Linked DNA regions of Canis lupus familiaris. The main gene of each other region encodes a partner of the protein of the gene in region 3 in a complex. Links are inferred from orthologs where the notes say so. Each region holds a gene or a part of one and is shown on either strand. Other genes may lie near its edges.

Region 1 (2,901 bases), on a different chromosome or scaffold from region 3:
CAGAGACTGGAAACACAGACTCTTGTGCAAAAGGATACTGTCTCTTCTGTTTCCCTCTTAAAAACCACCACCACCACCACCAACAAACTTCCTGCGGACCAGTGGTTTGGGGCTGCACACACCATAACACTGGCTAAAAGTCACTGCTTATGGAAGTTTCCGGGTCCATGAGAGAAGTATCAATGAATCCCTCTGGGAATGAACACTGCAGAAATGACCTGTGCCTGCTGAGGAGTAATCACAGTGCAGGACTGTGGAGAGTGGTCTCAAGAAGAGGATGTGGGGCATTTGCAGAGTGTAGCAGGCTCCTTGGGCTGAGGCTGCAGGGAGGAGGAACCGAGCCAGAGAGAACAAGTGCTTTTCCAATTAAAGTATATTCATGATGGCATTGTACAACTGAGTGAGCACCACAAAGTGGACGGGAAGGCAGGAGGTACGGTCCTGGGTAGCCGGATTGCACGTGAGCCAGGATAGAGCGTTGTACTGCTCCAAAACAAACCTGCCGGAGAGAAGAGACAGGTCAGGGGCACGAAGCACAGCAGAGGCAAGGCTGGTTCTATACGTCAACATTCCAGGAGTTGGCAGGGAGGGCCTGTGTCATTCTTTCACTTGTCTCAGGTTTCCCTGTGGCACTTTTCTCACACATCCGCTTTGCCTAGCCCTGCATTACTGGCCACAAATGGAATCACATATGCTATCATATAAAAACAGGATTTCAAGGAATTCATATTAAAAAACAAAACATGTGAAATAGTTCATGAATATTTTTATGTTAACTACTGAAATGATACTGTTTTTCATATACTTGATATTATTCTGATATACTTTTGGTATAATTGATACATTTTAACTTCACCAATTTATTTTACTATTTTAATGTTGCTACTAAAAAAATTTTCATTAGAAATGTAGCTTACATTGTATTTCTCTTGGACGGTGCTGCACTAGAGACCCTGAAAGCCAAAATCATGTTGATCAGGTTCTTGCTTAACTATAATTTCCAAATCATTTTAGAGTTAGTAAACACTAGAAAAAGCTGGCATTTCCTCAAGGTACTTGAAGAATGTTTGTGGCCCGCTACAGTGCAAGAGAATTACTGCATCCTTCTGGAAGATACTTCCTAACTATGGAATTTATGTTCTAGTTAATTTTATTTATATAACTTATGTCAGAAGAAGTAAAAAAGATGCTTTCAAAACCAAGCGCTTGAACTTTTAGGCTCTGTCTTCTAACCATCCACCCCCTATTCTGATCTATTTTCATCACCATAAAATGCCTCCTTTAAATAGGAAGCAAGGACAATTGTACTGCACATACCTATCCCATTTAACAAAGTATACTATACTCTCTGTCCAGTGCTCATATGGGGGGACTGCAACTCTCAGCGGCTAATCAGACAGTGCTCCACAGCACAAAAGGTAGCACCTTTTCTGCATTTTAATTAAATACACCTTGGAAAAACAAAAGTGAAGGAGGATTATTTCACACTGTACTGCTATGTTGCCTATGTCTGTATCTACCTTAAAACATCAGATGTGGTTTTGGAGTCAAGAGGATGTGGAACCCGCTGAGAATTCCTGGCAGGGAGAAGTTCATCCGTCTGTGCTACAGAAATGTGGTGATGCAGTGAAGCCTGGTAAAAGAACAGAGACAGTTACCTTTCTGACAACCTCAACCATGGGGCAGAAAAAAGGAAGACCAATGTATGCTAGTTGCAGACGCCCTCTGGAGTCTTTAGAAGCCACAGCCTCCAGAAGCCTTAATTTTAGGCTCTCAGTAACTCCAATGTGATCCCAAATAACTCCATATCCTAGAGTTGGAAAAAAGCTAGCTTTGCAAATATAAATGCGTTTCAAATGATTCAAAGACCTGCCTCTTGAAGTCCTAATCTCTAGAAGGCCTCAGGGTCTGGATATGGCTAACTGTCCCCTTGTGGTGGGGTTAATACATTCTCTCCTGACTTCTTCTGTAAATCCATAGATTTAGAGGCTCTAACTGGTTCAGTTTCTTTCTAGATGGAGGGGATAAGGGTGCAAGAATACTGCTTAACTGGTGCTATGTCCTTCTTATTGCATCACATCAAAAGGCAACTAATGTCTATTGTCCCACTTGAAGTAGGATTGATCACCGTGTTCAGCAGGTTACCAGCATGCTCCATTTAATAAGTTCCCCATCACTTTTTCACCTAATTTTTACTTTATTAAATAACTGAGAAATATAGTATGTGAGAGTTAATATAAATGCTTCTTTATTTTTTAGTTTTCGACTTAGTAAGCTGCTGTTCTAGTAGTTTCAAAAGGTGACTGAGAAAATGTTCTGGTTTTCAGCACAATTATGAACCCATGTATTTGTTTCATTCTCCTGCTACCACTGTTCTTTATGTTCAAACTGTCCCATCCTTGGGCAATGAGAACCCTCCAGCTGGCTCCTGGGTCCTTTGAAGTAACTCTAATTATCTTAAGTAATTTCCTTGCTTTTCAGTGGGACAACATAGCAAAGGTTCATCCTGAATATTTCTTACTTCAGACCTATAATCAGTCATTTATTCCAAGGGACTCTGGTTCTTTTAAATGATAAATGGTATTTCAGAACCAGAACTGTAGCAAGAGAGTTGTTTATGGATACTATGCTGTCACTGCTCCTAAGTTTTGCAGTAGACCGAGCTAAAAAAAAAAAAAAAAAAAAAGTGTACACCTTTCTTAAGAGGGAAAAATAAATCTAGGTTCATCCTGACAAGTCTAATTTGAAATAAAGATGACGTGGATTTTATATAACTTCCTTGATTTCACAATATGTCATAGCCATTAGTTAAAGAAAATTGCTTCAACTGTTTCTGGTCCAACCCTTCCACTGTTTCTTTTTGAAAACAGAGCAGGCCTGTGTGTGTGTGTGTGCGCGCGC
Region 2 (4,100 bases), on a different chromosome or scaffold from region 3:
CTATTCTAAATCCTTTGTATTTCCATATAAATTTTATTTATGTATTTTTTAATAATACATTTACTTTTTATTGGTGTTCAATTTGCCAACATACAGAATAACACCCAGTGCTCATCCCATCAAGTGCTCCATATAAATTTTAGAATCAGCTTGTCTATTTGACCAAAAAATGCTGGAATTTTTATTGGGATTAAATTTAATCTATAGAGTAATCTGGGGATAATTGCTATGTAAATCATATTGAGTCTATATATATATATAGAGAGAGAGAGAGAGGAAACAGAGTGGAAGCATGGAAATCTGCCAACTGAAAACTCTTACAAGTCTACCTGACTAAAGATAGTCCAAAATAAGATAATATGTTTAGCATACAAAAAAGAATAATAGATTGTTACGCTGCTTAGATTTTAATAATTCTGGCCCTGTCATCCTTCTAGCTTGGACATCCTACAAAATTGATTCCTGCAATATGGTTCATTAAGTATACCTAATATTGTGGCTAGTGCTGAGCAAAGAGTGAACAAATATTTCATAAATGAAGTACTGTACTACTTATGCACAAAGGTGTTACATGAGGATAAAGAAGAGACCCTACATCAGCTTGAGCGAGGAGGGCAGGCATCCAGGAAAGAGTCAAACTAGTGCTTGGAAGAACACAGCGGTGGAGGGGCACACCCCACAGCGCACTTAGCCACGGCTCTGACACTGCAGATGGATCAGCCTTCCTATCTACCAAGGTTTCTCCACTTCTACCCTCACCAAAGAAGCTCTAGGTATTCAGAAATTGATAAATATTATTTTAGATGATTATAACTAAAACGGCAGACATAATTATTTTATTATTCTAATTAAAATTCAGTAATAATGCATTCATTTTTTTTTACCCCCCGACCTTTATGTTAAAAGCTTGCTATGTGTCAGGCACTGTGCAAGGCACTGGGGTTACCATACTTGAGAAGACACGGTCCCTGTCGTCAAGAAAAGTGTGGTTTCGACTCTTGGCTCCAGAAGATCAGCAGCTCTCACAGACAACAGGTTGACCTAGGTTGCAGGTGGAGCCCTTCTCCCTGGCTGCCATTCCCCGGGCTTCAAGCTTCTTTCCTTGCCAGTAGGCAGAAGCATCAGCCTGGAGCAGGAAGGAACTCCCGTTCCAGCCGGGAGGTGGCGGCCTGCAGCCGACGACGCCTCAGGGTGACTTGGGGTCAAGGCTCCACTTGGTGGCAGTCTCGTCTGGCTCGGCTGGCCGCCCTTCTCCCCCGGCGGAACCAACTAGCTGGGGGCCTGGTTTCCGCAGGGTTGCTAATCCACACGCACCCGACGCTTCCCAGCTTCCGTGCAAGCGCCGCGGTTTGCTGGACGGGGACGGGGGTCCACTCGGCCGAGCGCTTCAGAGAAAAGAAAGCTTACCCCGCCAGCTGAAGTTTCTTGCGGGCTTCCGCCCCTCGGCCGGTCAATTCCCGGAGCTTGGGCCTCACCGGGCCGCGCGCCCAGCGTCCAGGACGAGCCGGGGCGATGGTGCAGATGGAGACGCAACTGCAGAGCATTTTTGAGGATGTGGTGGTGAGTGGAGCCGCCGGGCGCCGGGGCGGCGTCTGGGGGAGGGAGGGGCACCCAGCAGCCGCCCCGGCCAGCGCCCCCCACCTCTCCTGTTGTGGCCTCTCGTACGTCTGCAGGGGTCTAGCGCGTCCCAGCATGCTGTCAGATTCAGTCTGCACTGAAATCCCCAGCACCCTTTGTGACAGGCCCGGCCGGGGGGGGGGGGGGGGGGGGGCGGGGGTATTTTGTGCGTGTGGCGGGTCAAGGTGACTTGTCCTGTGTTACACTGTAATGTCGTCTTAGGGGCGTCCCCCCCTTTTTTTATTTTTATTTTTTTTACTTTTTTACACCGCTTATTTTTCTTTTTTTACAGAAAACGGAAATTATAGAAGAGGCTTTTCCTGGGTGAGTGTATACGTATATGCATGGCAGATTTTTGTGTTTTTACTTGAGTGTCTTTGGAAGATGTGACTCAGGTTTGCCTTGGAGGCACGCGAGATCTGTAAGATTCTGGTTATGTTGAATTAATTCCCCCTCAAGAACTAGTAGCAAATCTGTGATTTTTGCTTTTTAGAATGTTCATGGACACCCCTGAAGATGAAAAGACAAAACTAATTAGCTGTCTGGGAGCCTTCAGACAGTTTTGGGGTGGTCTTTCTCAGGTGAGCACTGCATTTTTTTACTACATCCAGGTCATGATTTTTGATGCCTCCTTTTTTACACTACTTTGATGTTGCTGCTAAGGTTCTTTTGGAAAGGGAGACATTAGTGTCATCATTTGTTATATGTGTATTCTGGTTTCCATTTGTTTCATTTTGTATTCTTCCAGTGGAGAACCAGTATTAAGAAATCAAACTGATGATGGCACATTGTGAGACACCTATAAAAATCTCCCCCATGTTAGATTATATAAAACACTTCATCCTACTCTGATTTATTTGGTACATGTGGAAACAGCTCTGGTAGCAATTGTAAAAGATACAAATTTCATTCATTTATTCAACAGAAGGAACTAGCAAAACATTGATACAGAGATGCTATGATTAAAGATACCATAGTAAGGGGATCCCTGGGTGGCTCAGTGGCTTAGCATCTGCCTTCCGCCCAGGGCGTGATCCTGGACCCAGGATCAAGTTCCACATCCGGCTCCCGGAGTGGAGCCTGCTTCTCCCTTTGCCTGTGTCTCTGCCCCCGCCCCCCCCCCCCCCCCCGCCCGTGTGTTTCTCATGAATAAATAAATAAAATCTTTAAAAAATAAATAAATAAAGATACCATAGTAAAGATAACAAAGATGCCACAATAAGGATACTATAATAAAGATACACAGATCTTCTAAGAAAAATGAGGAAAGGAGCAGTAGAACTTAGTAACAAAGAACAGTCACCAGAAAATGTATCCATGAAAAAGACAAAATGTGTGATCCTTAAAGAGCTGGTGTTCCAGGAATGTATTATCTTCTGATGCTGCATTATTGGTAGGAAAATGAGAACTGTTTATATTTGACCACTGGTGGTAAGACTTACTTCCCAAACATGGGGTTACATAGGCATAAATCTTGTGGGTTTTGTTTTTTTTATATAAGATTTTGTTTATTTATTCATGAGAGACGCAGAGAGAGAGAGGGAGGCAGAGACACAGGCAGAGGGAGAAGCAGGCTCCGTGCAGGGAGCCCGTTGGAGAACTACATCCCAGAACTCTGGGATCACGCCCTGAGCCAAAGGCACATGCTCCACCACTGAGCCACCCAGGCGTCCCTTAAATCTTGTTTTAATTGTCTTCGAATAGGTAATCTATTCATATGGCTCCAAATGCAAAAAGTACCAAAAAGGGGACCCAATGAATAGTCTGCCTTCCATCTCTCTTAGCTTACACCTGCTCTTTTTCGTATCAGTAGCTGGTATTCTCAGTTTGTTGCCTTCTGGAGGTATTTTACACATATAGGATCAACTTTTATAGAACATTCACATAATGTGTTCACTGTTCATTAGCCCTTTTCCTCTTACTATTAAAATCTGAAAATAATTCCACGTCAATCCATTGAACGTTATTTCTGCCTTTCTTTTTTACAGCAACATAATCTATTATATGATTGCACCTTCCTTTAACCAGTCCCCTGGTTTTTCTTAACTACTCCAGTTTAGGTTATTTAGGTTACTTCTTAACTACTCCACTTTAAACAATACTACAATGGACAATATTGTGCACAGGACACTGAATAAATTCCTGGAAGTAGTATTGCTGGGTTAGAGGGTATGTCTACTTAAAATTTTTATAGAAATTTCCTGATAGCTTTCCATAAGAGTTATACCAATTTGTACTCCTCTAGGAATGTGTAAAAGTATCTGTTCCCTAGGGCCTCACAGTAGGTTGTTAATAAATTTTTTTGATGTTTGCTGATCTAAAATGAGAAATTCTATCTCATTATGGTTTGTTTTGTACTTCTTTGGTGTTGAACATGCTTTCAGCATATTTTAATAATTCGTTAAACAATTTATGAATTAAGGATGACCCTTGTTTTTCAGAAATTTGTATTCTAATAGAGGAGCCAGAAAAAAAATAGATCT
Region 3 (4,053 bases):
CTTTGTGGTCTGTGGGCCAATAGTTTTAGACTTCTGTTTTATATTCTCCCTTGGGTGATTATTAGTTAATTCCCTGGCTTTTAACACCATTTCTACCAGTCATTCTCAACCAAGGGCAATTTTGCCCACCAGGAAACATAGGGCAAGGTCTGGAGATATTTTTACTTGTCACAACTGGGGGATGGGGTGTTACTGGCATCTAACTGGTAGAGGCTAGGGATGCTGCCGAACACTTACAATGCGTATGACAGCCCCCAAAAAGGAATTATCCCAGCCCCAAATGTCAAAATATTGTGCCAAAGTGGAGAAGCCCTGTTCTGTGTTTATGACTCTGTACTTTCTAGCTCTAATCCAAACTGCCTGATCTCCTGGATGGCTCATAAAGCATTCAGGTTGAACCACTTGCATAAAGTCACAGATTAAGTAGTAGAGGAAGGATTCAGAACCATAGTATCTTAAACACTACTCTACATTATCAAGGATAAACAAAAAAACATTGCTTCCATCTTAGTGCCACTTACAACCTAACAAAAAAAACACAAAAATAACTACCAAGTTTTAAGGCTCCTACAGAAGGCCAACAGTTCTACCAAAAATAAGTCTAAAAATTCCACACAGGAAAATTATCATAAGCAAAATTAAAAGACAATCCCATTCTTTTGGGAGAAAAATGCCTGCAAGCTAACAGAGCAAATATTGGAAATTTTATTTTGACTTTTCAAAAATTTATTTTCTGACTCCACTCCCACCGGAAGGAGGGCACTAGGACTTCAGGAACTGCCGAATACACAACTCCATCTCCAGCACCTCAACACCTAAAAGATCCTCAATAAAGGCCCACTGATTGAGTTTTTTTTTTTTTTTTAACCTCCGTTTTTTAAAACAGAATAATAGACAAAAGAGGACAAGGAGGAGGGCTCGGGTGGTTCAGTCGGTTAAGCTTCTGCCTTTGGCTCAAGTCATGGATTCAGGTCCTGATCTCAGGGTCCTGGGATTGAGCCCGCATCCGGCTCCCAGCTTAGCAGGGAATCTGCTTCTCCCTTCTCCCTCTGCCTTTCCCCACGCTGGGCTAGCTCCCTCTCTCTCAAGTAAATAAAATCTTAAAAAAAAAAAAAAAAAGACAAGGGAAATGCAAATGCTGAATAAAAGCAGAAAATTATTCAGACTAATATACTTCTAAAAGCAAAGTTTTAAAAAGAATACTTTTCATCTAACGGACTATCGAGATTTCAAATACTCCATCATTCAACAAATATTAGAACACCTTCCATGCGACAGGCGCTGGATGCCAGCAGAGGTCGCACTCTCCCAGGGCAGCTCTTTCTGTCCAAGGGTCTTGCCCTCTCATGCTTCTATAAAGACCACTTTTTTGCACCACAGACGTCTCAAGAACTCTTTCTTGGCTGTTGGTTTCAAACCCTAACATCTGTCCTACGTCACAAGTGCATAAAAATGTGCACCAAGGGTGTTTAATGCAGCGAGGTTTGAAAAGAGTAGGAAAAGCCGGAAATCATCCATGACTTCATCAATATGAGGAGTGGATAAAATATTTCTCTGTAATATAAGGCGGCCCTCGAGTAAAAGGGGTAAAACTGCTTGCGGGGAGTGGGGGGTGGAGGTGGGGGTGATAAACAGTGTTTATATGTGATTACTACCAAAATCAGAGAATTAGCATTGATCTGGTTACTTCAAAAGCGACTGTAAGAGACAGCCCAGGCTCTGCCTCACTCAAGCATTTTTAGTTGGGCGCCCGGTTCCGCGCCTCCCCACGCCACAAGCCACAAGCACTCCTCTATTCAACGTGCAGGTTCCCAGTCCCACGTGACTGGCACGTTTTAAAGCCTCTCGGCGGACGCCTGGGTGGCTCAGGGCGGGATCCGGGGATCCGAGATCGAGTCCCACGTCTGCAAGGAGCCTGCTTCTCCGTCTGCCTGGGTCTCTCATGAATAAATAAATAAAATCTTTAAAAAAAAAAAAAATTAAAAAAAAAAAAAAAGCCTCTCGGTCTTCCTCACACGCCTGTCAGCTTCCTTCGCGAGAGGAAGACTCCGCGTCTCGGAGGGGCCGCCTGCGCCGCGTCGGGGCTAGCGAGTCCACGGCAACGCTCCTCATCCCGGCTCCTTTCCGCGGCCCAGGGCAGGCTCGCCCACGGAAGCAACCTGACGAGTCGCACCGATTCTGCTCATTCCTCCACCGCTTCTCTGGGGCCAACTCTTCCGAGGCGGTGTCTCCACTGAAACCGGCGCCAAGCGTCACGGCCGGTGACCGGACCCCAGACCCCCCTTCCGTGGGGCTCAGCCGACAGGAAGGCATTCCAGGGTCCCGCCCCGCCCCCGAACACCTCCCCCTCGACGTGGCCACCAGGCTTGGGATCGCGGCCTCCTGCACCCCGCACTACCGCGGCCGACCTCAGGCTCCATCCCCGACGAGCGCGGGCAAGGCCCGGGGGCCGAGGCCCGCCACGTCCGCCCGGCTCAGCACACCCGCGGCGCGGGACTGGAACTCAGGGCTCCCCCACGGAGGAAGCCCCGAGCGCGCCGCGCCGACGGCACCTTCCGCCCGGCTCCCCGCGAGCAGCAGCGAGGCCGCATCTCCGAGGGATGTGGGAGAGGAAGGTGACGGAGCGTGTCCGCGCCAGGCTTCCCCCATTCCCAGCCGGCCCTGGGGGAGCCGCGGGGTCCGGAAGGCGAGACGCACGCGGCACGAAGCCGCAAGCCGTCGCCGCCCACTTACCTCAGCCCAGGCTTGACGCTGGAGCCGCCTTCGCCTCCGCAACCGAAAGCCGACTTCCGGCCACCTCCTCCAGGAAGAAGCCCGTGACACTGCCCCTTGATTGGCTGAGAGAACTGTATGTTAGCCGCCGCTCTAGTCCCGCCTCCAACCAAAACCTTGCTACTGCGCCTGCGCGTATCTCCCCGCGCCCTCGGCGGTCGGGTCGCCGGCGGCCTCGGGCGTGGGGGTGTCTGTGCTAGTACTTTCTATCAGTAAAAGCTGCAACTGGTAGCTTCGCTCCTTTGTTATCTTTTTTTTTTTTTTGACACCTGAGATTAACTTATCCGTTTGCCTTACATGAAAATTAGAAAATGCAGATAAGCCGATTTTTAAAAATTAGATCGACTCTAATCCTACTGTCCAAAATAGCATTACATTTATTTTCAATCTGGAAATATTTATGAACGAGATCGGGAATTCATAGCGTTCTCAGTTTCTATTTCTTCACATTCATATTTATTTTCATTTAGGAATTGAAACATAGCTATGTTTCCAGGTAACAAAAAATGTATCAAAGTTTTTGGGAGGTAATTTTCAGAAGAAGTAACAAACTTATAAATTCGTGGAAATCTGACGAGAGCATACTGGACATAAAAGAAAATTGTTATTCTGATAAAAGTTTTCAACTTTGCCTCTAAAATAAGATTACTTGGTTTCATTTTTTAGAAAAGAACGAGATTCCGAGTATATGCAAAAGTAGAGGGGCGCCTAGGTGGCTGAGTGGGTGAAGCCTCTGCCTTCAGCTCAGGTCGTGATCCCAGGGTCCTGGCATCAAGCCCTACTTGGGCTCCCTGCTCAGCAGGGAATCTGCTTCTCCCCCTCCCCTCACACTGCTCTTGCTCTCTCTCTTCCTCTCTCAAATAGATAAGATCTTTAAAAAAAAAAGTGTACTCATTATCCACCTTCAATCTATATCTACCCATTAGATCTAGACATTATTTCGTTTTAATATACACGTCCAAAATAGGACTCTCATTTTCCCCCATAAGGATACAGGTGTTATATCATTTAAAAATAAGTTAGTAGAGGTGCCTGGGTGGCTCAGTGGTTCCGTGTCTGCCTTTGGTTCAAGTTGTGATCCCAGGGTCCTGGGATCAAGTCCTGCGACAGGCTCCAGATATGGAGCCCGCTTGTCTCTCTGCCTACATCTCCGCCTGTCTCTCTGTCTTTCATGAATAAATAAAATCTTTTTTAAAAAAAATAAAATAAAATAGTAATTATTTAAATTCATCAAAATCAAGGGCACTTAGGTGGCTCAATTGTTTAAGCTTCTGATTCTCA
Region 4 (4,042 bases), on a different chromosome or scaffold from region 3:
AAAGCATCTAGGGATGAGAGCACTAACTGATATTTGCAGTGTCGAGAATGGTGCCTGGCATGCAGTAAGCATTCACTAAGTAATAACTACTATTTATGTCACTATACACATCCTTCACCCTTCCCACCTACTCATATATTCTCTTAGAATACTGGGCACTTCCTTTAGTGATGTTCTTTCCAAATCTGATTTTATGCTCAGATCTTCTAATTTCAAAACTCTGCTACTCCCCAGCTCAGCAGCACTTGGGTAAGGTACTTAACCTTCACTTTTGGGTTTCCTTATCTGCAAATGAGAAATGGATATTGCCACCTCCCTGGCACAAGTTTGAGTAACATCATGTACGTACAAGTTCCTTTCATTAGCACCTAATGGGTGCTCATATGCATTTTCTGGTTTAATGCAGAAGGTCCTCACAACACACCGTAAGGCAGGTATCTTAATGAAGAAGGAAACAGGATCGGGATAGTCAAGACTTGCCCAAAGTTGCACAGACAGCTAAATGGCGACACCAATACTGGGACGAAACTTCACTCTGAGCCAAATGTTTTTTCTTTTCTTTTTTTTCCCACGAAACCAAAGCTGCTCCCTAAGTGCATAAGCGCTACAACTAAGTTAACTCACGCTGTTCACGGCATTCCAATGCCTGCAGAAATGCAAAAACCATCAACGTACTAGTGCCATGTTGCCCACGGAAACTGCGGTAGAAAAATCAAACCTCAGGTTTTGTTAACATCGATATTAAAGACCGAAGAATCCGAGAGCCCTGGAGCCGGGGACGTGTCTGAAATTTCAATAAACAAAACAAAGCGACGGGTTTCTGCTCTAGCCGCCCCCACGACGACACTGCGGGCCGCGGGGAGGAGGCTCAGTCAGTGGTCGGGCCTTTGGGGCCGGGCCGGTCCCTGCGCAGGCTACGCGGCCCGGCCGCCCCCAAACCGGGAGGAGGCCTCCTCCTCGGGGCCCGGGGTCCAGCGCCCTGCGTTGCGCCCGCCCGCCCCTCACCTCCGGCTCCGGGCGCTCCGAGGCCATCACACAGCCCTCCCGCGCCGGCCCGGGCCAGAGAAGATGCTCCACTCTTGACCCTTGACCCGGCTCCCGGAGACCCGCCGGAACCGGAAGTGAGTGGGCGGGCCGCGCTCTCCCTGAGTTTTCTGATTGGGGGACGAGGCCTCTAGAGTGGATCGCCGACTAGGAAACCGGAAGCGGAAGCCGCCGCCGCCGCCGCCGCCGCCGCCGCCATCGCCGCCTTCGCCATCGCCGCCGCCGCTATAGCCGCCATCGCCGCCATCGCCATGCAGGTGAGAGCGGGCTTGGGGCTGTTAACCGCTAGCTAGCTTCAGGTGACAGGACTGAGAATGGGCTGGCCGAGGAGAGAGTGAGGAGTCGGGGCCGACTGGAGGGGCAGAGCGCGTAGCTGACGGGTAAGGGCCCGCGGGGGCGCGGACGACTGGAGCGGTGGGGGTGGGGCCCACCTGGCAAGAGATGGGAGGTTGGGGCCTTGTCGTGGGGAAGGAGGCTGCGTGGACTAGCTGGCGTGCACGGAGGGATCAGGCTACGGTAACTGGGACGGTTGATATGCAATGCAAGGAAGGCAGCTCAAGAAAATGCAAGTTGGCTCCGGCCCCTGCCCAAGCTGTTGGATGTAGACGTGAGGGATCTGGATGGAATTGCAGAGGAGCCCGAGGGATTGGGGGAAGGGGAGGGAGGCCCAGAGCCGAGCTACTTAAAATCTGAGGCTCTGTGAGTGGAGCCCCGGATCCAGGCCCTCCTCATGCCCCTTGGTGAGTTTGCAAGACAGCTCTGCATCATTTCTCCCAGCCTGAGCCTGTTAGTTGTTGAGGATGAAGAAATGGAGTAAAACTGGAGACCACAGACGGGAGGAAACTGCAGACACCCCAGCATTTTAAAATTGTGTCTCTGGCGCCTAGGAGCATGTGCGTTTTGTCTTTGTTTTTCACTTGCCACTTACTTTCTTGCACCTGGTTGGCTGTCAGTAAATGTCTTCAGGCTGAGTGAGCTTGTGGAAGGGACGCAGGAATACGGGCACAGAGATAAAGCGAAGGGCACAGAGATAAAGCGAATGCCGACTAATCCAGCAAGAAGAAGCTTGAAAACTTCAAATGCTGACGCAGATGAGGAGTGGGGGAGGGGCCGTGGGGTACAAGTTTCAGGGAAACCTTAGTTTCCTTCGTTTCCACAAGCATGAGTATGTTTTCCGGAGATTATGTGACTGGCAAGAACTTCCAGGCTCACAAGGCAAGTTCTAGGACAAGAGAAAGACAAAATACTGCAGAGGCACACAAAAGTTAATAAAGCCCAGGGATTATGTCTGAAAAAAATGCCTCAGTGAGAGTGTTTCTATTTTTTTTTTAATTTTATTTATTTATTCATGACAGACACAGAGAGGGAGAGACACAGGCAGAGGGAGAAGCAGGCTCCATGCAGGGAGCCCGACATGGGACTCAATCCTGAGGCCCCAGGATCACGGCCCCTGGGCCAAAGGCAGCACTAAACCGCTGAGCCACGCGGGCTTCCCTGAGAGAGTGTCTAATACAGAGGAAAGCCAGACATGAATTAGCAGACAATGAGGGAAAGGAGGAATTGAGGTCAGGCAAATGGATTGAAAGGTCTAAGAATTGATGCTGTCTGTAACCCAAATACCAAAGATAGAGAACAGCCTGGCTTTCCTGCACCAGTGAGATCCTGGGTTACTTGACTAGTTTTGCATACTGTCATCCCGGCTTTTCAGCCTTCCCTGTATACGACATAGCCACACCTATCTGGGTAACCAACCTGTTCCTATTGGTGCAGAGGGAGGAGAAGCAGCTGGAGGCATCATTAGATGCACTGCTGAGTCAAGTGGCTGATCTGAAGAACTCACTGGGGAGTTTCATATACAAGTTGGAGAACGAGTATGACCGGCTGACCTGGTAAGGGTTGCCAGGGCAAGCTGAGGAGGGCTCCATGGGGTGGGGGTTGAGGGGGCAGGCCTCCTGATTGATAGGACATCTCCAGGGATGTCACAATTTATCACTTTGCAAACATTTTTTTTTCTTTTAAATTTCCAAGTTTGTTTTTTTGTTTTTTGTTTTTAGATTTCATTTATTTATTCATGAGAGACACAGAATGAGAGAGAGGCAGAGACACAGGCAGAGGCAGAAGCAGGCTCCCTGCAGGGAGCCCGACGTGGAACTCGATCTCGGGTCTCCAGGATTACGCCCTGGGCTGAAGGCGGTGCTAAACCACCGAGCTACCCGTGCTGTCCTGCAAACATCTTTTAATTTGAAAAGATCTATGTTTCCCAACATTTAACAAGTGAAGTTTGTCTTAGGGCCACTGTGGCACGGAAATAGAGAAATGCCCAGTTTTCCAACCCAAGTTTTTTCTAGCTTTTGATTGTCACCCTTGACTTCTTTGGGAGGAGGTACTCCGTCAGTGGGTCCTCCCACTATAGTAAGAGTACAGCGTTCATCTCGGGTCTCTTACGATAGATATTGCTGAGTCTTTTAGGTCCAACCTACTCTGGAAGTGTGGATCCTGTTTTCAGGCCTGAAAGATCTCTTTTTGCTCAGTTTATAAATTTTTAATGATAAGCATAGCCATGGTTCTTACTTTGCCACTGGTCTTTTACCCCATTCAAATAATGAGCTGCCTTATTTCTCCATCCATGTTAGAAACTAAAAGCGTGTCCCGTTTTCATAACCCCACAATCCCTGGGATCCAGTCTGGTTCCTGCCCAGTCCAGCTGTAGTGCTCTGAGTCTTTTTCGAGTGAGCCTGGGTATTCCTAGTCTGAAAGACCCCTTCGAGGCTACTTTACTGAGAACATTGTGACACCTTCTTACCACTACCAGGCCGTCTGTCCTGGACAGCTTCGCCTTGCTCTCTGGACAGTTGAACACTTTGAACAAGGTCTTGAAGCATGAAAAGACACCGCTGTTCCGCAACCAGGTCATCATCCCCCTGGTGCTGTCTCCAGACCGTGATGAAGATCTCATGGTAAGAAGAGAAGAAGGGCATAACATGGGAAATTAAATTCT
Region 5 (3,500 bases), on a different chromosome or scaffold from region 3:
TACACTTAATGGCAAGAAAAATATTAAGTATGCTTCCTATTCAACTGAACCTCGACTAACAAATAGGTACTTTATGCTATTTAGTAATAAAGCAGTTAAATCTCAAAAGATAAACTTATACTATCACCAAAAGAATTCCAAAGACCACAGAATCTATTATTCTATTTGAAAGAAGAAGACAAGAATGATAGAATAATAGAATGATACAGTATAAGACTTTTCTCTCTTTTTTTTTTTTTTTTTTTAAAGTAGGCTCCATGTACACCCAGCTGAACATGGGGCTTAAACTCAATGCTGAGACCAAGACCTAAGCGGAGATCAAGAGTCCAATGCTTAACTGACTGAGCCACCCTGGCACTCCATAATACAATTTTTTTTTTAAAATAATTTCAGCCTTATCATAAAGCAAGGTTTTTTTTTTTCCTTTTTTGAGAGTGTGAGTGGGGATAGAGGGTGGGGGGGAAGGGCCGAAGAAGAGGGACAGAATCTTAAGCAGACTCTGTGATGAGTGTGAGCCCAACGCAGGGCTCTATACCACAACTCTGAGATCCTGACCTGAGCCGAAATCAGGAGTTCAACACTTAACCAACTGAGCCACCCAGGTGTCCCAGGACTTCTGTCAGGTCCCATTTCCTCATATACATTGTCTCATTTAATATGATTAACTAACCAGGACGCCTGGGTGGCTCAGTCGTTGAGCATCATGCCTTCAGGGCATGATCCCCAGGTCCCAGGATCAAGTCTGGCATCGGGCTCCTTGCGGGGCTCCTATGTCTCTGCCCCTCTCTCTGTCTCTCATGAATAAATAAATAAAATCTTTTAAAATAAATAAATAAACCTGAAACCACAGTAACTGAAACTAAAAAGTAGATGCCTCAGACATCTTAAAAGTCATTTCTACATAATTCCCATACAACTTGACAAAACACAGAAAGATTTGGTCACAGTTAAAATTTTAAAAATAACGCTATAACCAAATATGAAGGGATACTCTTTTTTCCAGGAATAATTCTTTCTTTTAAAGTAATCTGGACACCCAATGTGGGGCTCAAATTCATGACCCCGAGATCAAGAGTCATATGCTTTACCAACTGAGCCAGCCAGGCAACCAGATCCAGGAATTATTCTTTTTTTTAAAAAAAGATATCATTTATTTATTGAAATAAATAGAAATGAAGATATTACTAGCATACACCCCCAGGAATTATTCTTTATCCAAAATTCTTTTTTTTTTTTAAGATTTTATTTATTCATGAGAGACACACAGAAAGACAGAGGTAGAGACACAGGCAGAAGGAGAAGCAGGTTCCATTCAGGGAGCCTGAAGTGGGACTTGATCCCAATCCTGGGACTCCAAGATCATGCCCTGGGCAGAAGGTGGCGCTAAACCGCTGAGCCACCCGGGCTTCCCTTTATCCAAAATTCTTAAAGTGAAAACTTTCACTCACTAAATCATATAACAAAAGATATTTAACAAACTAAACAAATTAAAATACCCAAGTTAATTTTCTAGAGTAGAAATTTATTAAAAGATTTTGTCTAAAAAATAATAATAAAAGATTTTGTCTAGATTTTCCATACTGGTTGTGCTTCATAATACATCAAATGACATGGTAATATTTGGAAAAACCACCCCATAATATGACCTTTTATAAACACTTTCTTTTCCCACTAAAGAACTTAGTAACAACAACAGGGCTGGTTCTCTCCCTTTAAAATACCACTTGTAATTAGAAAATCATAAACCTCTAGAAAGTCTGTCTTAATATTATTTCCTAATAGAGTCAACTCTCATTACTTTAGGTAATATTTGGAAAACATGCCTTAAATAATCCTAAATAATGACTAGAGCAAAACTAAATAAAAATTGAGTGCCAAAAGGAATTATAAACCTACTAGGTCTAAATTACATTTATTTTTCAAGAATACAATTATGATTCTAAAGACATCTAAGAAACATAATACAAAGGTTTCATAACATTAAGAATGCAAATATTATGATGAAAATCAGTCTATATATCCTATTACTGTCTGGATTTTAGCTGTGCTCTCTCAAAATTACCGAAAAAGAAAATAAGGTGAGCAGAGATTGGGTCTCAGCTCCAAGTTCCCATCTCTCTTCCCTTTCCCTCACTTAATTTCTCTACCCTCACTGCCCTAATAATTCCTCATTGGAATCTATATGACTAGAGCCACACTCATCCTTGCTTTCCCTCCTGCTTTCTCTATGGTTTGGAAGGCAGCCATTATCAGGTGGCAGGGAGGGAAGACAGTAAGACATAGGAAGCATATGGTGAGAAGGAGGCACATGGGAGGAGGTACTATAATACAGGTTATAGTAAAGAAGCTGTGGCACTTATGGAATACTACTTAGTGCCAAACAGTAAATGTCTTAGAGAACCTAGAACAAAGCAGTTAAAAGCATGCAATTAGTAGCCAGACTCCCAGGGTTCAAAATACTGGCTCTGCCACTTACCAGCTCTATGAATTTAGGCAAGTTTCTTACTCTCTATGTAACTCAGTTTCCTCCTTTATGGAATGAAGATATTACTAGCATACACCCCATTGTTTGTTATAAGGATATTATGAGTCAGTTATAGTTTAAAAGGACTTAGAATAGCACTTACATTTACATAAGTAGTATTTACAAATTTACTAAGTAAATGCTACATAAGTGTTTGTTAAATGAATGTATAAAGACGTATATCTTTGATTTTGTATGAATTTCAATACTTTGCATAAAAAAAATCTCCATCTGTCATTATTTTTATACAGGTAATATGAAAACTAGGGCAGATTAACCAATGTGCATTGTGTATACTTCAATGAAGAACAGAAAACTATTTCATACCTCTACTTTGGATGCCAAAAACACACATGTAGGAGCCATTAATACAGGATCTATACTTTTCAGAGAATACCTAAAATATGATGAAAACAAAGTTAAATGTCATTCATATAGAAGACATTCGGAAAAACCAAGATAACTCAATGCAAGCACATGATTCATTTATTTATACTAAGGTTCATCAACATTACGTTAAGTGTTTCAAACAGGCGTAACATAATCTCAAAATAAAAGTCCTACCTGGCATAGAATCTCTTGAAATAGACCGTAGCAGTGGCAATAACTTGTTGTCTTAATTTAAGATGTTCACCTAATGCCTGAATAACTAAAAGAAAAATAATAAAGTTTTAAATGTTCTTTTGTTATCATTATGATATTAACATTGAACAATAACTTTCATGTGGTAAATCATAACTATATTAATTTTTAACAAAGAGAAAAACCTACATATGGTTTAAAGCTCTACTTGGATCACACTGGGTTAGGACTAGGATTTGCAAATCTGTTAAAAGAATATAAGTATGCATAAACAACAATAAAAAATAGAAACTGTCCCCAAAGCAAACACTATTCTTATATTAAGAAGATTGAATGATAGGTATTTCCCTCTATCTTCTAAGTATTTTCAGTGTTTTTCTTTTTTTTTTTTTCA
Region 6 (3,967 bases), on a different chromosome or scaffold from region 3:
CTCCCTCCCCCTTTGCCCCTCCCACTTGTATTCTCTCTCTCTCAAATAAATCTTTATTTTTTTTTAAAGATTTTATTTATTCATGAGAATACACAGAGAAGAGAGAGACAGAGAGAGGCAGAGACACAGGCAGAGGGAGAAGCAGGCTCCATGCAGGGAGCCCAATGCAGGACTCGATCCCGGAACTCCAGGATCACGCCCTGGGCTGAAGGCGGCACTAAACCGCTGAGCCATCTGGGCTGCCCTCAAATAAATCTTTAAAAAAAAATTTTTTTTTTAAATTTGAGCTCACCCCAACATGGCCTTTAAGATTAATCTCCAACCCTTCAGGCTATTTCAAAGCTTTCGATAATCTAAGTCAACTCTACTTCTTCATTTTCTACTAATTCCTTCATATATACCTAACTAGTGATAAATTCATTCCAGACTATACTGTGTTGCTCATGTTTTGCTACTTGTAATGGCACAGTATTAAGTGCTTAGAAGCTGTACAGATGTGGATTCCAATTCTGGTTCTAGTAACCTGAGTACAGTTTTTAATTTTTAAACTGGGAACATTTTCACATTACACCACTGTTCTGAGGAATAAAGAAAACACACAAGCATAAATATTCAACACAGTGGCTATCTGTTGTGTTCTTCAAAAGCTCTCTCAAGATCCATTTATTCAATAAATATTAAAAAAATCAACTCTATGACAAGCATTGTAATAAACATTATAATGAAACAATGAACAAAGGCACAGCTTCTGCCCTCATGGAGTTCTCAGGGGGTAAAACAAATAACTTTAATAATTTTACAAATAATTACAATTCAGATCAATGCTTAGAAGATTTCCTTTACTCAGTTCATATCACTCTCTATTCCAATTTACCTCAGCACTTACATTTGAAGGCGCTTGATTCATTATAAACACCTAACCAAATCCTACTTTTAAATTATTTAAATGTCTTGAGTATATGACATCATTCCAATTAGACTGTAAACTCCCCAAGGAGTATTTTTCTGTAAACATGAGAGTGCTTACATACACATTAGGCATTCACACTAGTTAACCTAGAGATTTCTCTCCAAAATCCAATTATCAGCATGCTTACCCTGGAGTCAAGGCCATATTCACTGTCTCCTATTATCTCTCTGGTTACAAGACATGTATGAATATGCAACATTTCTCCTAAAATAACATTTCTGCCCAGCAGCATCGTTACAATTTGATTCTGAAGAGCCTCAAAGTAATATCTCCCAGAAGGAAGTTGGCTGGCAGCCCACGCATGTCACCATAAAGTAGAATTTATCTTAGTGACTTCATCAACCTTTAGGGGCTAGCCCTCTCAGTCCTAAAAGGTCTTATTTTATTTACGGAGTAAGTCAGTTTTATTTTATTTTTTTTAAGACTATTTATTGAGAGACGGGGGGGGGGGGGGGGGGGGGGGGAGAGGGAGAGAGGCACAGACACAAGCCCACTCCATGCAGGGAGCCTGAGGTGGGACTCGATCCTGAGTCTCCAGATCACACCCCGGGCTGAAGGTGGCGCTAAACCGCTAAGCCACCCGGGGCCGCCCGGAGTAAATCAGTTTTTCACAAGTCGATTCCCCCCTCATTTGAAGTGAACAAAGATGGATGCAACAAGAATCCTAACTTCTTATCTTCCGGTGTGAAAAAAACTGGCAAGGGAACAGATACTTCGATTTTCCAGTCAACATATTCTCTCTCTAAAGACATTTGACCTGGGATATCAAATTATAAACAGATTGGCAGGCCCGGGTGGCTCAGCGGTTTAGCGCCGCCTTCGGCCCAGGGTGTGATCCTGGAGACCCCAGATCGAGTCCCGCGTCGGGCTCCCTTGCATGGATTGTACTTCTCTTTCTCATGAATAAATAAAACCTTAAAAAAAAAAAAAAACAGATTGACAATGAGAAATATAACTAATGGCAAACTGTTGAACTCTTTATGGTCATGAGCACATGAATCCTCTGGTTCGCATGTACTTTCCAGTCAGGCATAACAGGAAAAAAATAATAAGGATCAAAGTAAGGGGGTCGGCTTACAAGATCTGACCCTTAACAGAAAGTAGACTTTTTGCGACACATTAAAGACTTAAATAAATGGGAACATACGCAAGGATTAGAAGATTCACTCTCCTAAAGATGTCAGTTTTCCCCAAACTGATTGATGCCAGGGAGCGCCAAGAGATGGGAACGAGACCCTTTGTCTCTGGGAACCAACGAAGAGGAAACAGAATTTCTCACCTCACCATCACTCCAGGCTCAACCTGCAAAGTCCTGACGCAGGAATACTCTCGGCTGACATTTAACAAAAAAATATCCAATCGTCAGGAGCACAGTTTCTCCTTCGCGGCTTAACACTGATAAGGGAAACAAGGAGCTTCTGCCGCTTTCCCCCTTACCCCCGAAAGAGAAGTGAGCCCAGAAGTACGACTGGCAGTAAAATAAAACTGTTCCCAGAGAACAGGACAGGACCGTGACGCCTAAGTGTCCTGACAGAGAGACCCCCTACTTTTCCGGTGAAAGAGGCTGCTGCTCCCTCAGCTCTCCGCGAAGCCGGCAGCCGGCCTCAAACCTCCCAGGACGCCGCGCCGCCTCCCGCCGCCGCCAGCGCTTTCTGCGGAAGCCCTGCCCCAGTCCGCTCCCCACTTTCGTGTGTTTTTCCCGGGGCCCTTTGCCCTCGTTTTACCTTAAGAAAGGGGAAGACAGAGACCAACAGAGCAAAATCGCTCACCGAGTTCACCGCGTCCTGCAGCTGTGTGAGCCGGTCCGCCATGTTCCTCCTGCAAGCTCCGGAGGCTAAAGCAGCTGCTCGCTCGCTATTGGGCGGCTTCAGGAAGCGTCGTAGCCAATCACAGGCCAGCGTTCTCGGAGGGGGTGGAGTCAGCGGCCCTCCGCGCCCGGCGAGTAGAGCGCGGGTGGGACTTTTGCGAGGCTGTGTTTCGGGCAGCTCCGCCCGCGAAGGCGCCTCGCGGAGGTTATTTTGAGTGACTTTGGGGTGGGGGTTCCGAGTTCCTTCGTTTTGGGTCCAGCAGACTCGTTCTCGAGGTTTTCGGGTGGTAGACAATTTTACGGAGATGGTTAGATGCTGCAGTTTTTAGAAGTGATTTTCCCCATCTTCCCGTGTATATTCGTTTTTAAACATTGCCTTGAATACTTACGTTACTTTGGATTTCCAGGTGGATCACCAAATATATACACAGCAACCAACTCAGGAATACTTGGGGGTCGCGATCCCGATTTTAACTTCAACAAATCCAAATTAAAATTCACCAGGCAATCTTGGCTGTGTTAGGGTGTCTCCTCTGGGGGGGTGGGGGTGGAGGGGGTGATGGGCCACCCAGGTGAAGACTGGGTGCGTGCTTTAATTCTGAATGTGGGTGTGCTGGGGAAGCTGACACACATGGGATGGAAAGCGTCCAAAACAACTAAGCACTAAATCGAGCTGTATTGACCGCGTAAGAAGAAAATGGTTGGGGGCAGCCTGGGTGGCTCAGTGGCTTAGCGCCGCCTTCAGCCCGGGGCGTGATCTTGGAGACCCGGGATCGAGTCCTACGTCGGGCTTGCTGCGTGGAGCCTGCTTCTTCCCTCTACCTGTGTCTCTGCCTCTCTCTAATAAATAAATAAAATCTTAAAAAAAAAAAAAAGTTGGAAAAGGAAGGTTTCTATAGGCAAAGTGAGTAGCAGAAGAGTGGCATCTGGAGTTCAGAGGTAAGGTGTGAGTGCAGTTAACTAATAAAAATCTCGCTCCTCTGACAGCGAGGAACTCAGTAGAAAGAACAGAAGAAGGTTGGTGGAGAGGAGAGTGGAGGAGGTTCCTGGAAAATGAGCCTTATGTGTAGGTAAGGGCAGGGACAATTTTTAAACAGATAAGGTGTGCAATTTATACTTAGCCGTGAGACCTATTGAGGATTTAGTGTGAAGGAAGATAATAGGAACTTGGTATCTGGAGCACCTGGCTG
Region 7 (3,500 bases), on a different chromosome or scaffold from region 3:
AATAAAACTCCCCTCCTATGTTTTCTTTTGTACTAAGTTTTTTCATTCAACTTAATTTTTTTTTTTACAGCCATGTAAAGGTATAAGTCATATGTTCCATTAAGACCATTCATTTAGCAGGGCAGCCCCGGTGGCGCAGCAGTTTGGCGCCGCCTGCAGCCTGGGGCGTGATCCTGGAGTCCCGGGATCGAGTCCCACATTGGGCTCCCTGCATGGAGCCTGCTTCTCCCTCTGCCTGTGTCTCTGCCTCTCTCTCTGTGTGTGTCTATGAATAAATAAACAAAATCTTTAAAAAGAAAAGGCCATTTAGCAAATTGCTAACTGTGGAAAAGTCTCAATTATTGATTGGCTTTAGATATTTTTGTCTTTTTTTTTTAATTTAATTTTTTTTAATTTATTTATGATAGTCACACACACACACAGAGAGAGAGAGAGGCAGAGACACAGGCAGAAGGAGAAGCAGGCTCCATGTACCGGGAGCCCGACGTGGGATTCGATCCCGGGTCTTCAGGATCGCGCCCTGGGCCAAAGGCAGGCGCCAAACCTGCTGCGCCACCCAGGGATCCCGATATTTTTGTCTTGAATAAAATATTTTTAATAATAACGATTTCAGTAACTTTGACATTTAAATAAAAGGAAGACACGTAACTTTTCTTAAATGTTTTTCTTAAAATATGTTTTTCTTATTTAGGAACTGATGAATCCCCTGAACCACTGCCAATCCCTACGTTTTTGTTGGGTTATGATTATGATTTTCTGGTGCTTTCTCCATTTGCACTCCCCTATTGGGAGAGACTTATGCTGGAACCCTATGGATCTCAAAGAGATATAGCCTATGTTGTATTATGTCCAGAAAATGAAGCCTTGTTAAATGGAGCCAAAAGCTTTTTTAGAGACCTCACTGCAATATATGAGGTAGGTGTTTAAAAAGAGGTAGCATTCCTATAATTAAGTCTCTTATGGCATAGGAAAAACAGGGTCACCGGAGGGGAGGACGGTAGGGGGACTGGGTAACTGGGTGATGAACATTAAGGTGGGCATGTGATGTAATGAGCATTGGGTGTTATATAAGACTGATGAACCAATGACCTCTCCCTCTGAAACCAATAAAACATTATGTTAATTAATTGAATTTAAAGAAAATTTTATAAGAGTAGCATTCAGTTGGGAGTCTGCTTTTCCATTCTCCCTCTTCCCCTCCCCCTGGCTCATGCTCACTCACTCTCTTTCTCTCTCTCTTAAATAAATAAATAAAAATATTTAAGATATAAAAAGAGGTAGCTTTTTAAAACTATAATTTGTATGTTTATGTATGAAATATACTGGAAAGTTGAATTGATTGGGATGGGTAATAATGATGTGAAACTGGTTGTGTAGTTCTCATGCTAGCCAGTGGTGTTCTTCACAGCATTTGACCCGAACTGTTCATTAGGTGTGTGTGCCATGGTTCACAGTAGAAATTGCTATATTGAGGAAAAACCATTGAGGGCATATATATGCCACTTAGGATCTTTTTTTTTTTTTTTTAAACATCTTTTTTTTTTTGAAACGAAGAGTTGCATTGTTGAATAGCCAGGAAGAAAATTACACTTACAGAAATTCTAGTTCTGATTGTCTAGGGCCTCAGGTACTGACAATAGGCCTTGCTTTCATAAAGTAAGCCTGTGTTAGATTTCTCTGTGATCTGTATCATTTCTGAAATTCTTGATTGTTCTTTTTAATTCTTGACTGATCTTATAATTTTCATGTTGTGTCCATCACTGAGTGCAGTGATTACAGATTTTAAGTGGTACAGGACATCAAGTCTTAATTATACTTCCTTTCCCCATAAATGCTTAGAAATCAGTCTTTAAAATTTAATTTCTTCTATAGTCTGAGTTGTTAGTTTGTGCTAGTTTAGTTCCTAATAAGTGTTCCACTTAATTACAAGGTATCTGTAGTGTATTTTGTAGAAAGAAGTATTTTCCAAAGAGTGTTACTTGGAACATTGGTTCTGCAAAATCTTTCTGGAAAAAATTCCATAATTAATCAGATTTGGGGGAAATATTATGTATTATATTACTTTTTAAGAGATTTTCTATTCATACTAGTTTATTAAAACCTTTGAAAGTTTGTTGTTTTCTTTTTTAAGCCTTTGAAAATCTTAACAGTAAAGAAATCCTCTGTCCAGGGATGCCTGGCTGGCTCAGTCAGTGGAATGTCTCACTCTTGATCTCAAGATTGTGAGTTCGGGCCCCCACATTATGTGTGGAATGTACTTTAAAAAAAAAAAAATCCTCTGTCTAAATTTTTTAAATTTAGTGTTAGAAACTTGATATTGGGCTTCTTGTAACAAACATCAGTGGCCCACAGAATTGGAGGGAGAGCTGGCAATTACATAATATATTTATATACCAATTTTTATTTTGACTTGATTTGGATGTATGTACGTATTTATGTTCACTTATATCTGTATTCTTCAAGTCTTCATTATTCAAACCACATGGTTCTTAACCTGGATGTTTTATTTCATTAGTGATAGTTTAATTTTGAAAAAAAATTTAATGGATTTCTAATGTAAAAAGAAAAAGATAGGGAGCCTGGGTGCCTCAGCAGTTGAGCATCTGCCTTCAGCCCAGGGCGCGATCCTGGAGTCCTGGCATCAAGTCCCACATCGGGCTCCCTGCATGGAGCCTGCTTCTCTTGTGCCTATGTCTCTGCCTCTCTCTCTGTGTCTCATGAATAAATCAATAAAATCTTAAAAAAAAAAAAAAAAGGAAAAAGATGTACCTTTTCATTTGATATTTTTATCCCAAATATTAATAATAAATTATAAATCTTAATTTAAATAACTTAAATGCTTAGGGCACCTGGCTGGCTCAGTTGGTAGAACGTGCAACTCTTGATCTCAGGGTTGTGAGTTCAGCCCATGTTGGATTTAGAAATTACTTAGAAATATATCTTTTAAAAAAATAACTAAAATGCTTTATTTTATAGTGTATACTCAAATACTATAATAAAATCACTAATTCTGCTTTCTATGTATATCTGTAGTCCTGTCGATTAGGTCAACATAGACCTATTTCTCGACTGTTGACAGATGGAATCATGAGAGTTGGATCTACTGCATCAAAGAAACTATCAGAAAAGTTGGTAGCCGAATGGTTTTCTCAGGCAGCTGATGGTAACAATGAAGCATTTTCTAAACTCAAGCTTTATGCACAAGTCTGCAGATATGACCTAGGTATTAAATTTGTATTTCTTTTATAAGACCAATGGTAGCAAAGTATAGCTCAAGGTATCTGTTGTTTTTGTAAATAAAACTTTACTGGAACCCAGCCCTGTTCATATATTTCTTACTGTCTGTTGCTGCTTTTGTGCTACAATATCAGAACAATCGTTGAGACAGAGATGATGTGGCCCAGAAAACCCAAAATATTTACTGACTCTCAACAGAAAAAGTTTGCTGATCCCTAAAATAGGAATCCCATCAGATAAGAAATTTGGGGTATAAAAAATTG

What was found.
Region 1: MED7 (region 3) and MED13L share a complex: the UniProt entries of both Homo sapiens proteins name them as parts of the mediator complex. The link is inferred for Canis lupus familiaris from reciprocal best matches to the Homo sapiens genes MED7 and MED13L.
Region 2: MED7 (region 3) and MED23 share a complex: the UniProt entries of both Homo sapiens proteins name them as parts of the mediator complex. The link is inferred for Canis lupus familiaris from reciprocal best matches to the Homo sapiens genes MED7 and MED23.
Region 4: MED7 (region 3) and MED8 share a complex: the UniProt entries of both Homo sapiens proteins name them as parts of the mediator complex. The link is inferred for Canis lupus familiaris from reciprocal best matches to the Homo sapiens genes MED7 and MED8.
Region 5: MED7 (region 3) and CCNC share a complex: the UniProt entries of both Homo sapiens proteins name them as parts of the mediator complex. The link is inferred for Canis lupus familiaris from reciprocal best matches to the Homo sapiens genes MED7 and CCNC.
Region 6: the proteins of MED7 (region 3) and MED21 are in contact, whole or in part, in a cryo-EM structure (PDB 7EMF), measured with the Homo sapiens proteins. The link is inferred for Canis lupus familiaris from reciprocal best matches to the Homo sapiens genes MED7 and MED21. Residues at the interface, in NP_001094286.1 of Homo sapiens: Phe72, Asp73, His74, Lys75, Leu78, Arg79, Asn82, Ile85, Leu86, Phe89, Leu92, Leu93, Leu96, Phe116, Val119, His120, Ile123, Asn124, Tyr126, Arg127, His129, Gln130, Arg132, Glu133, Leu135, Arg136, Met139, Glu140, Gln142, Lys143; in NP_004255.2 of Homo sapiens: Asp3, Leu5, Thr6, Leu8, Gln9, Val12, Asn13, Leu15, Ala16, Phe19, Ile23, Ile62, Ala66, Ile69, Asp70, Ile73, Asp74, Leu76, Pro77, Ser78, Glu79, Ser81, Ala83, Gln86, Ser89, Leu90, Leu93, Glu96, Asn97, His98.
Region 7: MED7 (region 3) and MED13 share a complex: the UniProt entries of both Homo sapiens proteins name them as parts of the mediator complex. The link is inferred for Canis lupus familiaris from reciprocal best matches to the Homo sapiens genes MED7 and MED13.

What each region holds. Positions count from the first base shown.
Region 1 is NC_049247.1:13,104,998-13,107,898, forward strand, and holds part of MED13L (mediator of RNA polymerase II transcription subunit 13-like), read right to left. Parts: intron 1,634-2,901; coding exon 1,521-1,633; intron 954-1,520; coding exon 918-953; intron 500-917; coding exon 367-499; 3' UTR 1-366. UniProt on the Homo sapiens protein: Component of the Mediator complex, a coactivator involved in the regulated transcription of nearly all RNA polymerase II-dependent genes.
Region 2 is NC_049233.1:336,264-340,363, forward strand, and holds the start of MED23 (mediator of RNA polymerase II transcription subunit 23), read left to right. Parts: upstream 1-1,300; 5' UTR 1,301-1,407; coding exon of another isoform or gene 1,408-1,512; coding exon 1,513-1,560; coding exon of another isoform or gene 1,561-1,694; exon of another isoform or gene 1,695-1,697; intron 1,698-1,909; coding exon 1,910-1,941; intron 1,942-2,110; coding exon 2,111-2,198; intron 2,199-4,100. Other genes in the region: ENPP3 (ectonucleotide pyrophosphatase/phosphodiesterase family member 3), read right to left, coding at 1,408-1,694. UniProt on the Homo sapiens protein: Required for transcriptional activation subsequent to the assembly of the pre-initiation complex. Component of the Mediator complex, a coactivator involved in the regulated transcription of nearly all RNA polymerase II-dependent genes.
Region 3 is NC_049225.1:53,884,272-53,888,324, reverse strand, and holds the start of MED7 (mediator of RNA polymerase II transcription subunit 7), read right to left. Parts: upstream 2,801-4,053; 5' UTR 2,734-2,800; intron 1-2,733. UniProt on the Homo sapiens protein: Component of the Mediator complex, a coactivator involved in the regulated transcription of nearly all RNA polymerase II-dependent genes.
Region 4 is NC_049236.1:16,881,159-16,885,200, forward strand, and holds the start of MED8 (mediator of RNA polymerase II transcription subunit 8), read left to right. Parts: upstream 1-1,242; 5' UTR 1,243-1,295; coding exon 1,296-1,301; intron 1,302-2,814; coding exon 2,815-2,933; intron 2,934-3,856; coding exon 3,857-4,001; intron 4,002-4,042. Other genes in the region: KICSTOR complex protein SZT2, read right to left, coding at 1,006-1,032. UniProt on the Homo sapiens protein: Component of the Mediator complex, a coactivator involved in the regulated transcription of nearly all RNA polymerase II-dependent genes.
Region 5 is NC_049233.1:58,025,967-58,029,466, forward strand, and holds part of CCNC (cyclin-C), read right to left. Parts: intron 3,174-3,500; coding exon 3,089-3,173; intron 2,922-3,088; coding exon 2,852-2,921; intron 1-2,851. UniProt on the Homo sapiens protein: Component of the Mediator complex, a coactivator involved in regulated gene transcription of nearly all RNA polymerase II-dependent genes.
Region 6 is NC_049248.1:25,930,815-25,934,781, reverse strand, and holds the start of MED21 (mediator of RNA polymerase II transcription subunit 21), read right to left. Parts: upstream 2,801-3,967; 5' UTR 2,782-2,800; coding exon 2,740-2,781; intron 1-2,739. UniProt on the Homo sapiens protein: Component of the Mediator complex, a coactivator involved in the regulated transcription of nearly all RNA polymerase II-dependent genes.
Region 7 is NC_049230.1:34,684,474-34,687,973, forward strand, and holds part of MED13 (mediator of RNA polymerase II transcription subunit 13), read left to right. Parts: intron 1-691; coding exon 692-915; intron 916-3,033; coding exon 3,034-3,223; intron 3,224-3,500. UniProt on the Homo sapiens protein: Component of the Mediator complex, a coactivator involved in the regulated transcription of nearly all RNA polymerase II-dependent genes.